Linked DNA regions of Yarrowia lipolytica. The protein of the gene in region 1 purifies or fractionates together with the protein of each later gene. This does not show direct contact. Links are inferred from orthologs where the notes say so. Each region holds a gene or a part of one and is shown on either strand. Other genes may lie near its edges.

Evidence for each region.
Region 2: the proteins of YALI1_D16656g (region 1) and YALI1_D30922g purify together in Saccharomyces cerevisiae (affinity purification with western blotting; 4 studies listed by BioGRID, with this or other methods). This does not show direct contact. The link is inferred for Yarrowia lipolytica from reciprocal best matches to the Saccharomyces cerevisiae genes UTP14 and IMP4.
Region 3: the proteins of YALI1_D16656g (region 1) and YALI1_F11781g purify together in Saccharomyces cerevisiae (affinity purification with mass spectrometry, with the first as the bait; 3 studies listed by BioGRID). This does not show direct contact. The link is inferred for Yarrowia lipolytica from reciprocal best matches to the Saccharomyces cerevisiae genes UTP14 and NOP14.

Annotation. Positions count from the first base shown.
Region 1 is NC_090773.1:1,662,797-1,666,552, reverse strand, and holds the start of YALI1_D16656g (uncharacterized protein), read left to right. Parts: upstream 1-893; coding exon 894-3,756. Other genes in the region: YALI1_D16672g (uncharacterized protein), read left to right, coding at 1-362. UniProt on the Saccharomyces cerevisiae protein: Involved in nucleolar processing of pre-18S ribosomal RNA.
Region 2 is NC_090773.1:3,090,795-3,093,027, reverse strand, and holds YALI1_D30922g (uncharacterized protein), read left to right. Parts: upstream 1-827; coding exon 828-1,679; downstream 1,680-2,233. UniProt on the Saccharomyces cerevisiae protein: Required for the early cleavages at sites A0, A1 and A2 during 18S ribosomal pre-RNA processing.
Region 3 is NC_090775.1:1,175,624-1,179,379, reverse strand, and holds YALI1_F11781g (uncharacterized protein), read left to right. Parts: upstream 1-1,234; coding exon 1,235-3,733; downstream 3,734-3,756. Other genes in the region: YALI1_F11787g (uncharacterized protein), read right to left, coding at 1-353, 588-645. UniProt on the Saccharomyces cerevisiae protein: Involved in nucleolar processing of pre-18S ribosomal RNA. Has a role in the nuclear export of 40S pre-ribosomal subunit to the cytoplasm.

The DNA.
Region 1 (3,756 bases):
TGACTAAGATGCTCATTGAGATGGGCATGCTTGAGCAGGCTCTGGAGGCGTCGGTTCGAATCCACGATCTCAATGATGAGGAGATTGAGGGTTTCTATCTGGCTGGCCTGGCCTCTTTCACGGCCTGGGAGCAGGACAAGGAGGACCTTACACACGCTGTAGCCGCAGCTTCTGCCTTCCAGCGAGCCTCCAAGCTGTACGAGAAGCAAACCAAGCAATTTGGCGAGGCTTCTTGCGACCCAGAGGTGGTGCAGCACATTCAGGAGATGTACGCCAAGCTGCCCTCCGATCTGGAGATTGAGGAGGACAAGAAGGAGGAGTATGACGATTCTTGGGAAAAGGAAATTGTTTACGAGGAGTAAATAGGATAGTTTTGATAGACTTATATGCTAAGATGAACATGGCGCAGAAGGAGGGTAGTCTGGGATCACCAACTGTTTGAGGAACGATCCAGAGTTCAGAAACGCCAAAACCGATGGCACGGGAAGAAAAGAAATGTCTGTAGCAGCAAAACAATATCATGTGGCATTTCTTTTGAGTAAGTATATCGCCACCAAGGGGCTTGTCTCCACTTCGTATTGAATCGTGTGCGTGTAGTGCCCAGCCTTGCAACAACAGTACTATCACCCTCCTTTTCTTCCCATAGGCAATTCTTATCATGTAAACGAGTTTATGGTCTGTAAAAGGTGGCTTCTGAGCATTCATCAATATCTCAAAAAATCTCCGCCTTGTCTACTAAAAGTGTGTGTCCTCTTCTACTACAAGTAGTACCAGTCCCGCCAGTCACCACTGGTGTAGAAAAACCGTGCATAAAGTTTTGCCAAAGTCTAAAAAAATATTGTAAGACGCACGGAGCGATATATCTCTGCCATCCATTTTCAGAACCACACAGTATGGGAAAACGAAGCAAAAGCAGCCGGTCCGGGCGAACCACGACCGCCGGCAAGGTGTTTTCGTCCAAGCGAGCCACGTCGTACAAAAACGAAACCGAGCCCTCCAAGCCCGTACCCAAGTCTCGAGGCAAGCATGCTCTGTTGAACGCCTTTGAAATCGCCGAGGCTGAGGAGCGAAAGAAGGCCCGTAAGAACGGGGAGGAGTACTCCGACGACTCCGAGGATCACGACATTGACGATGTTTACGATGACGGTATTGTTCGGTTCAACAAGGACGGAACTAGAAAGGTGTATCAGCCTGGCGATGAGGAGGAGGAGGAAGACGACTCGGAAATCGACTCTGACGAGGCGTTTGGCTCTGACGACGGCGACGAGGAGATTCTGGACTCTTTCGGCGTCAAGTCCAAGGCCAAGGCCAAGTTCAAGGCCATGGAGGACGAGTACGACTCTGTGGACGAGGAGGAGTTTGTGGATCTTTCCGAGGCCTGGGATCTGGACGATCGTCAGCAGGAGAACCTCAAGAAGAAGAGCGGTGAGAAGGCTGCCCAAAAGGAGGATGCAAAGAAGAGCTCAAAGACCAAGGCTACCACTTCTTTCAATCTTCAGGAGGAGGAGGATGACGAGTCACATGGAGATGATGAGTCTGAGGAGGGAGGATCTGAGCAGGAACAGGATGCGGATTCCGAGGACGTTTCTGACGGAGAGGAGATCGACTCTGATAACGACGACGATTCTGATGACGGTGACGACGACTCTGATGAGGAGGACTCGGACGGATCTGTCTTTTCCGATATCGATACCGAGTTTGATGAGGAGAAGGCCGACAAGCTTCGATCTCTCATTTCCAACATGTACGAGAACGACGAGGATGCTGAGTACGAGAAACGACGACGATACGAGAACAACAACCAAGAGGAAAATGAGTTTGGCGTGACAGTGTCGAAAAAGAACAATGATGGCAAGCTGTCTCTTTCGGACCTGACTTCAGGTGTGGACAAGAAGGCAGCTGCTAGTCTGTCTCTTCTTGGCAAGCCCGACGGCAAGTCCAAAAACAAGCCCCAACATGTGGCTGTGCCTCTCAGTAAACGTCTCCAGGACAAGGTGGAACGTAAGGCAGCTCTTGATCTGACGCGAGAGGAGCTGACCAAGTTCGACGACCTGATTGCCCAGGACGAGGATGCTGAGCATCTGGTTTTCCCCCGTCTTCCCGTCTACGACTCTGATGAGGAGGCCAAGCAGCTGCCCAACACCGGTATTTCTGCGCTGGCCCCCGAGAGTGCTATGGAGAAGAAGATTGCCGGTATCCTCAAGACTTCTGCTCTTGCCGACGAGTCGCAGGCACAAAAGTTTGAGGAGCTGGCCACCAAAAACATGTCTATGGAGGAGCTAGCTGCCCGACGAAACGAGCTTCGACGAATGCGAGAGCTAATGTTCCGAGAGGAGCAAAAGGCGCGGCGAATCAAGAAGATCAAGTCCAAAACGTACCGAAAGATCCACAAGCGAGAGCGAGAACGGCTCCGAGACGCCATGATGTCCGACGAGGAGAGTGACCAGGAGGACCACGACATCAAGCGAGCTCAGGAGCGAATGTCGCTCAAGCACAAGAACCAGGGCAAGTGGGCCAAGCGAATGGTATCGCAGGGTCTGACCAAGGATGCCGAGACTCGAGGAGAGATGGAGGAGATGCTTCGACGAGGTGAAAGTCTGCGAAAGAAGATGTCTGCTCGGGACGACAACGATGGCGACGAGCAGATTGACTCTAATCTGGGCGACGACCAGTTTCTGTCCCAGAACAGAGACGCTCTGGTTGATCCTGATGAGCCTGCTGAGGGAGCTAATCTGGGCAAGGGTCTGCTTGGCATGAAGTTCATGCGAGAGGCTGAGGCTCGTCAGAAGACGGAGAACCAGCAGCGAATCCAGGAGCTCGATCGAGCCAAGGCCAACTGGGAACTTGGGCAGAGTGACGACGAGGACGAAGGTCGAGTTGACACTGCCAACGAGATTCTCAACCAGGGTCGACGAAAGTACGCGCCCGGAACCAAACGGTCTATTGCCGATGTGCTTGCTGTCAAGATTGACTCTGAGCGAAAGGCTGATCTTCAGTCTGATGATGATGAGGATGATAATGACGACAGAGATAACGACAACGTGACTACTGTGGTCAAGAGCGACAAAAAGAAGGAAGGAGGTGCACAGGACGACGATTCTGATTCAGATGACGACGCCTCCAACCCCTGGTTCACCGAAACCAACATCCACAAGAGCAACAAGGTCAAGCCTGTGATGGAGGCTGAGGCTTCTGCACGAGACCGGCTGGCCCACAAGGTGGCCAAGCATCAGAGCCGGGTGGTGGAGAGTGCGAAGAGCAAAAAGGCCCGCAAGCAAGATAACATTCTCATTGACACTTCCGATACTCTTGATCTCGTGACTCAGGATCGAGAGGCCGACACTGACAAGGGTATCTCTTTCAAGCAGGATATGATCAAGCGGGCCTTTGCAGGAGACGATATCGTCGAGGAAGAGTTCATGGCCGAAAAGAGACAGCGAATCGCCGACGAAGGAGATCAGGAAATCGACATGACCCTGCCCGGGTGGGGAGGCTGGGGAGGAGAGGGCATGAAGGCGCCCAAGAAGCGGTTTGTCAAGAAGATCCAGGGTGTGGCCGTCGAGAAGCGTCAGGATCGAGATCTCAAGAACGTGATCATTTCGGAAAAGTCGGACAAAAAGTCGGACAAGTACCAGGTCAAGTCGGTCCCCTATCCCTTCGAGTCTGTCGAGCAGTACGAGGCCTACCTCAAGATGCCCATGGGCCAGCAGTGGACCACGGAGACTACCCACCAGAAGCTCATCAAGCCCCGAGTCA
Region 2 (2,233 bases), about 1.4 Mb from region 1:
GTTCTGGCCGGAGATGCAACGGAGAAGGGAGAGGTTTTGAGGTGAAGCGGAATTATTGAAAAGAAGATAAATAGAATGTTTAGTCTGTCTCTCCACTTCAAGTGACAATCCCTTCTTTTATCCAGCATTCTAGAGCATGTTCAAACTGTTGGATCTGAGCCGTTCGGGAAAAGTCAGACCCGGAGCCTGGCGAAATATTCTGTCAATTATACAATACTTTCGTAGTACTCTTTTTTGATTCCTGGGAGCTCCCAAATCCGATAGGTCTTTCTGATCATCACTGTCTCCGTATAATTCGTTTTCCATGGAAAAATTACATTGATTGTCACTGGGTGGAAGGATTACAACGATTGTCATTGTGTTGGACGGGGCCACAACAATTCTCGAAAGCAAGTTTCTGTAGAAGTAGAGGAGTATCAGAGGAAACTATCGACCGGAAAATCACCAGTTTACATATATTCTTTTTGAGGTGCTTCCACCATTCGCCAGCATATCCTGACATTGAAGGCCATTTGGTCTACAGTGAAGACATCTCACAAGCACTCCCAACAGTTAGTTGAACACAACAAATGGCAATAAATGGGTCCAAACTGTTCATAATTTGACCGGAGAAAGCGGAGAATGATACAATGGTGAATTTTACATCTTTATCCGGGACCTTTCACTTCTTAAAGTGTCACATATAGCTTTTTATTGGCCACATGATATCCCTGTGGCCATCGAAATAAGTTTTCAGATTAAGCTTTTTCGTGGAAAAGAATTATGCATACAGATCTTTTTTTTTGTCAGTCTTCCCACAACCTTTACATCACCGCCACAAGCCCAGCATGATCAGAAGACAGGCCCGAGAACGGCGAGAGTATCTCTACCGAAAGTCGCTCCAGCTGCAGGAGGCGACCAAGATCCAGAAGCGGCAGCAGTTGAAGGCGGCGCTGGCCTCCGGTAAGCCGTTGCCCAAAGACGTGGCTGACGACGAAGAGCTTCGAAAGACCATTGCGTACGACGAGTCTGTGCAGGATGAGATTGACGACGAATATAGCGCCATGAGTGGCATCACCGATCCCAAGGTGGTGGTGACGACTTCTCGAGACCCGTCGACCCGTCTGTCTCAGTTTGCCAAGGAGGTGAAATTGCTGTTCCCCACTTCTATCCGGCTCAACCGAGGAGGAACCGTGTTGCCGTCGCTGGTTTCGGCTTGCAAGACGTCTGCTTCATCGGATCTCATTGTTTTGCACGAGCATCGAGGTGTGCCTACTGCCATGACGGTGTCCCATTTCCCCCATGGCCCCACCGCCTACTTTTCGCTTCATAACGTGGTTCTTCGACACGATCTGCCCGATACCGGCAACATGAGCGAGGTGCACCCTCATCTCATCTTTGACAACTTCACCACCGACCTGGGTAAGCGAGTTGTGCAGATTTTGAAGCATCTGTTTCCTCCCGGAGTGAAGAAGGACTCAGCTCGAGTCATCACATTTGCCAACCGAGGCGACTTTATCAGTGTCCGGCAGCATGTCTACGTCAAAACCCGGGAGGGTGTTGAGCTTGCTGAGGTCGGACCGCGGTTTGAAATGAGACTCTATGACCTGAGACTGGGCACTCTGGAGAACAAGGATGCCGATGTCGAGTGGAGAATGCATGGATTTATGCGAACTGCCAATAAGAAGGATTACCTTTAAGTGGCAAGACTGAAGGTCTGAGTGGACAAGAGCCGATGAAGGCCTACTGGACGACTTATTGATCGCTGGAGGAAGTAATATCTTGTCAGCACTTGTGCGGTTATGACAGCTTTTGGAAAGCAGTTACAGAAATACAGGGAGTTTGATAAAATGTCAAAAAATGAGTCGGTTTTATCTGAACCACCTTTCTCACGCTGACTCGACATCAGACTGTCCACCGGCTGGCTTCAACACAATACTGTGTGTTCATACACACTGATAGAAAGGATATAGTATTTATGAGCATATTAATAGTGACAGAGTGTAGAAGTAAAGCTCCACGTACAGTTTCCAGAAGAGTTTTCAGAAGAGTGGGGTTTTGATGTTCTTGAATGTTGGGACGAGGTTCGGAGGTGTTTTTCGTCTGAACCTCAGCATCGTCCAAATGCTCTAACAAGCCCAGAATTGGTGTCAGACTGATCGCAAAACTCTGCTCGTTCCAATGGTATGTTCCATAATACGCCTGGACCATTATCCGTTGTGTACTGTACTGTACTGTAGTCGTGCGTTTCCTC
Region 3 (3,756 bases), on another chromosome or scaffold:
GCCGGCAGTCTTCTTTGCCTGCTCCTGGAGCTTGGAGAACTGAACGGCGGCCTGCTGCAGCTGCAGAAGAGCATCCTGGCCCATCTGGGGGAGGATATCAGGGATCAGCTCAGCAATGTCCTTCTGCTGGGAAGGACCAGAGATAGCAAAGGTGTTGGAGGCGACGGAGCCCTCAACGTGGACCTTGGGGAAGTGCAGCACGGTGCCGTCCTCCTTGAACATGTTGACCTCAGAGATACCGGTGATCTCCTGGGCGTTGAACTTCTTGAGGGTGGCGGACAGCTTCTTCTCGTCCTCAGAGATGTTTCGGCCAGCAACCTTCTTGCCGGGTCGTCGGGGAGTACCCTTTCCACCTGGGTTAGTACGTGTACGTTGAGAAACGTTGCGATCGTACCCGGACACGGGTATTGACGGGCGAATGGCTCACAGGATGATCAATCATTGTCATCCCAACTCGATCAAGGCCACCCCGCATCCTTCCATGTGATCGTTTATGAGTTCGATCTCGTTTGTATCCATTTTTTCCGTCCATTTTTCCACGCAGCGGTTTCGGACAAATCCAACGCCGCCAATTCAGAGATACTCACCGGACTGGGCACCGGACTTCTTCTGGAGAGCTGCGAGCTTAGCGGGATCAACAGGCATTTTGTGTGGTGTTTTTGGTTCTAGCAAAAGCGACAGTGTATATCCAGTGCAAGTTTTTTGTCATCCGCGTGCTCAGATATACAGTTCGGCATCAAGCCCTACCCAGTTGGGACGAACCGAGGGTAACCACTCAAGAGCAGGTGCAACGAGGAGGCCGCTGCGGTCACGTGACCGCATTTTTGCGGGCGACCCCCGGCCATTGGGATGGTCCCGTGTTGGCGGGTGGCCTTTTTTGGTGCTATTTACCCACACATTTACTTGTCTGGGGCGTCTGTCCTGTCTCTTCCCTTCAGGTTTTGGGATTTTGAGGGGAACAAGCATTCACCTTTTTTAGAGTAGCTAGCTACCCCAACCCGTGAAGTTTATTCCGGGAGACTTGGGGTGGAGTTTTGCGGAGGATACAGCTGTGGTAGGCAAAGGGGGGAGTCTCCGTTGTGTTCAGCTGGCCAAATTGTCCAGATAAATGTTTTCCACGAAATTTTTCAGACAGGTTATGAGCTGCAAGGTTAAAATATTTCCCGAGCTTATTCAAGATATTTTCAAAGTCAGCATCTCAGATTTCAACCCACAATCCACAACACCGTGAACGATGGCCAAAACGAGTCAGCTCAAGCGGCTCAAGGAGACGCTCAAGAAGAACGATCTGACGGGCCAGACTAATGTCAAGGGCAATAAAAAGAAGATGAACAGCGGCAAAAACCGCCAGGACAGAGACAAGGTGCTGTCTGACATCCGGCAGCAGTTCAACCCTTTCGATGTCAAGGTGGCCAGGAAGAAGCATGATATTGGAGGCCGAACCGTACGGGGCAGTGTGGGACGACCTGGACTGTCCAAGCTCAGTGGCGAGGAAGCCCGTATGGAGGCTCGAAAGCTGGAGTTGCAAAACAAGGGACGGGTTGGAGGAGTGTTTGACCGGCGGTTTGGAGAGGGTGACTCCAACATGAATCCCGAGGAGAAAATGCTGGAGCGGTTTACGCGGGAGCGACAGCTTCGGTCGATGGGTGGTGGTCGAAACAAGTCGATTTTCGCTCTTGACGATGACGATGACGACGCCGACGCTGATATGATGCTGACTCACTCTGGTCAGGCTCTTGATTTCAAGGACGATTTTGATCAGGGCGATCTGGGTATTGAGGCCGAGGAGGACGAGGAGATGGCAGCCATTCTTGCCAACCGACGCAAGCTAGCAGAGGAGCGGGGTATGGGTGCTATGGGAGTCAATCTGGAGGAGATGGACGGAGTTGATATGGAGGAGGCGGGCACTGGCCGAAAGAAGAGCAAGGAGGAGGTCATGAAGGAGATCATTGCCAAGTCCAAGTTCCACAAGGCCGAGCGACAGGCAGCTCGTGACAAGGACCAGGCGATTATCGAGGAAATGAACGACGAGGACACCATGAATGCTCTGATCCGGGAGCTGGGATCTATCAAGGCCAAGAAGGTGGTGACAGCTCTGGACCAGAAGGAGAAGGAGTACGACCAGAACTTCCGAAACATGATTCTGGACCGTCGAGCCAAGCCTCAGGACAGAACTAAGACTGACGAGGAGCTGGCCAAAGAGGAGGCTGAAAAGCTCAAGAAGCTGGAGGATGAGCGACAGGCCCGAATGCGAGGCGAGGTTGCCATTGACCAGGGCGAAGGCGATGATCTGGACGGCAATGTGGCGTTTGACTTTGAGAATTCCGAGGAGGAGGGTGAGGATGATGAAGACGAGGCCGAAGATGATGATGATGAAGATGTTGAGATTCATGAAGTAGATGAAGACGAAGATGAGTCTGGCGATAAATCTGGTGATGAATCTGGCGAGGAGGAGACTACAAAGTCCGAGCCAGCCTCAAAGTCTTCCTCCTCCACTCTAGCATACACATTTCCCATCCCCAAATCACACAAGATGTTCTTGGAGACCACATCGGCCTACCCTCTGGACCAGCTGCCCACCATCATCGACCGGATCAACGTTTTGCATCACGCCTCGCTCAAGGAGGGCAACAAAGAGCGTCTAGCCAAGTTTGCATGCGTGCTCATCGACCATCTCATGTACCTCGCCGACGAAGAGGAGGAGGACGACTTTGAGTGTTTGTCTGAAGTCGTCGCTAAAGTGCACACTTTGGCGGAAACTCACAGTCCTACTATGGCTGCTCACATCAGAAAGAAGTTGGAGGCTCATCAGGCCGACACTACAGTTACGGCCGGTCATCTCATGCTGTGGACTTTGATTGGCATGATTTTCTCCACGTCCGATCATTTCCACCTGGTTGTGACGCCTGCGGTGCTCGTTATGACCCGTTTCCTGTCTCTGTCCACCTTTGACTCCATTCCCAAGTGCATTGCCGGGCTGTACACCGCCCAGCTGTTGATCCAGTACCAGCGAATTGCCAAGCGGTTCATTCCCGAGATTGCCGTCTTCCTGGGCCGTCTGATTGCTGCTCTGGAAGGCACTGAGACTTCTCTTCCCATGGCTTCTCTTTTCAAGATTGCTCCTATCAAGGGTTTCACTCCTGGTAAGGCTTCCCACAAGTCTACCGATAAGACCATCTCAATGAGATCAGCCAACCGATCCATTCTGAGCAAGAAGGAGGTGGCCACGCTATCTCAGGAGCTCCATAACCAGGCCGTGTTTTCCGTCTCCAAGCTCATGGACACATACAAGGACATTTCAGCCTTCCCTGAGACTTTCGAGTTCTGCGAGAACATTCCCGAGCTTGCAGACAAGTATAGCCGAATCACCAAGTTCAAGTTGGCTGACCGAAAGCCTCTCACTCTACACAAGCACCGACCCCTGGCCATCAAGACCATGGCCCCCAAGTTCGAGGAAAACTTCAACGTGGACAAAAAGTCGTACAACCCGGATATGGCGCTACAGGAGACCCAGAAACTTCGAGCCGAGCTCAAGAAGGAGAAGAAGAGCGCGCTGCGGGAGATCCGAAAGGACGCCGCCTTCGAGGCCCGAGAAAAGATCCGAGAACGACGAGAGAAGGACGACGCCTACCACGAAAAGATGGCTCGACTGGTGCGATCTGTGCAGACCGAGGAGGGAGCCGAAAAGAACGCCTACGAGAGAGAACGGGCCAGCAGAAAGCGAAAGCGATAGATGCAGAGCGGAGATATATAGAG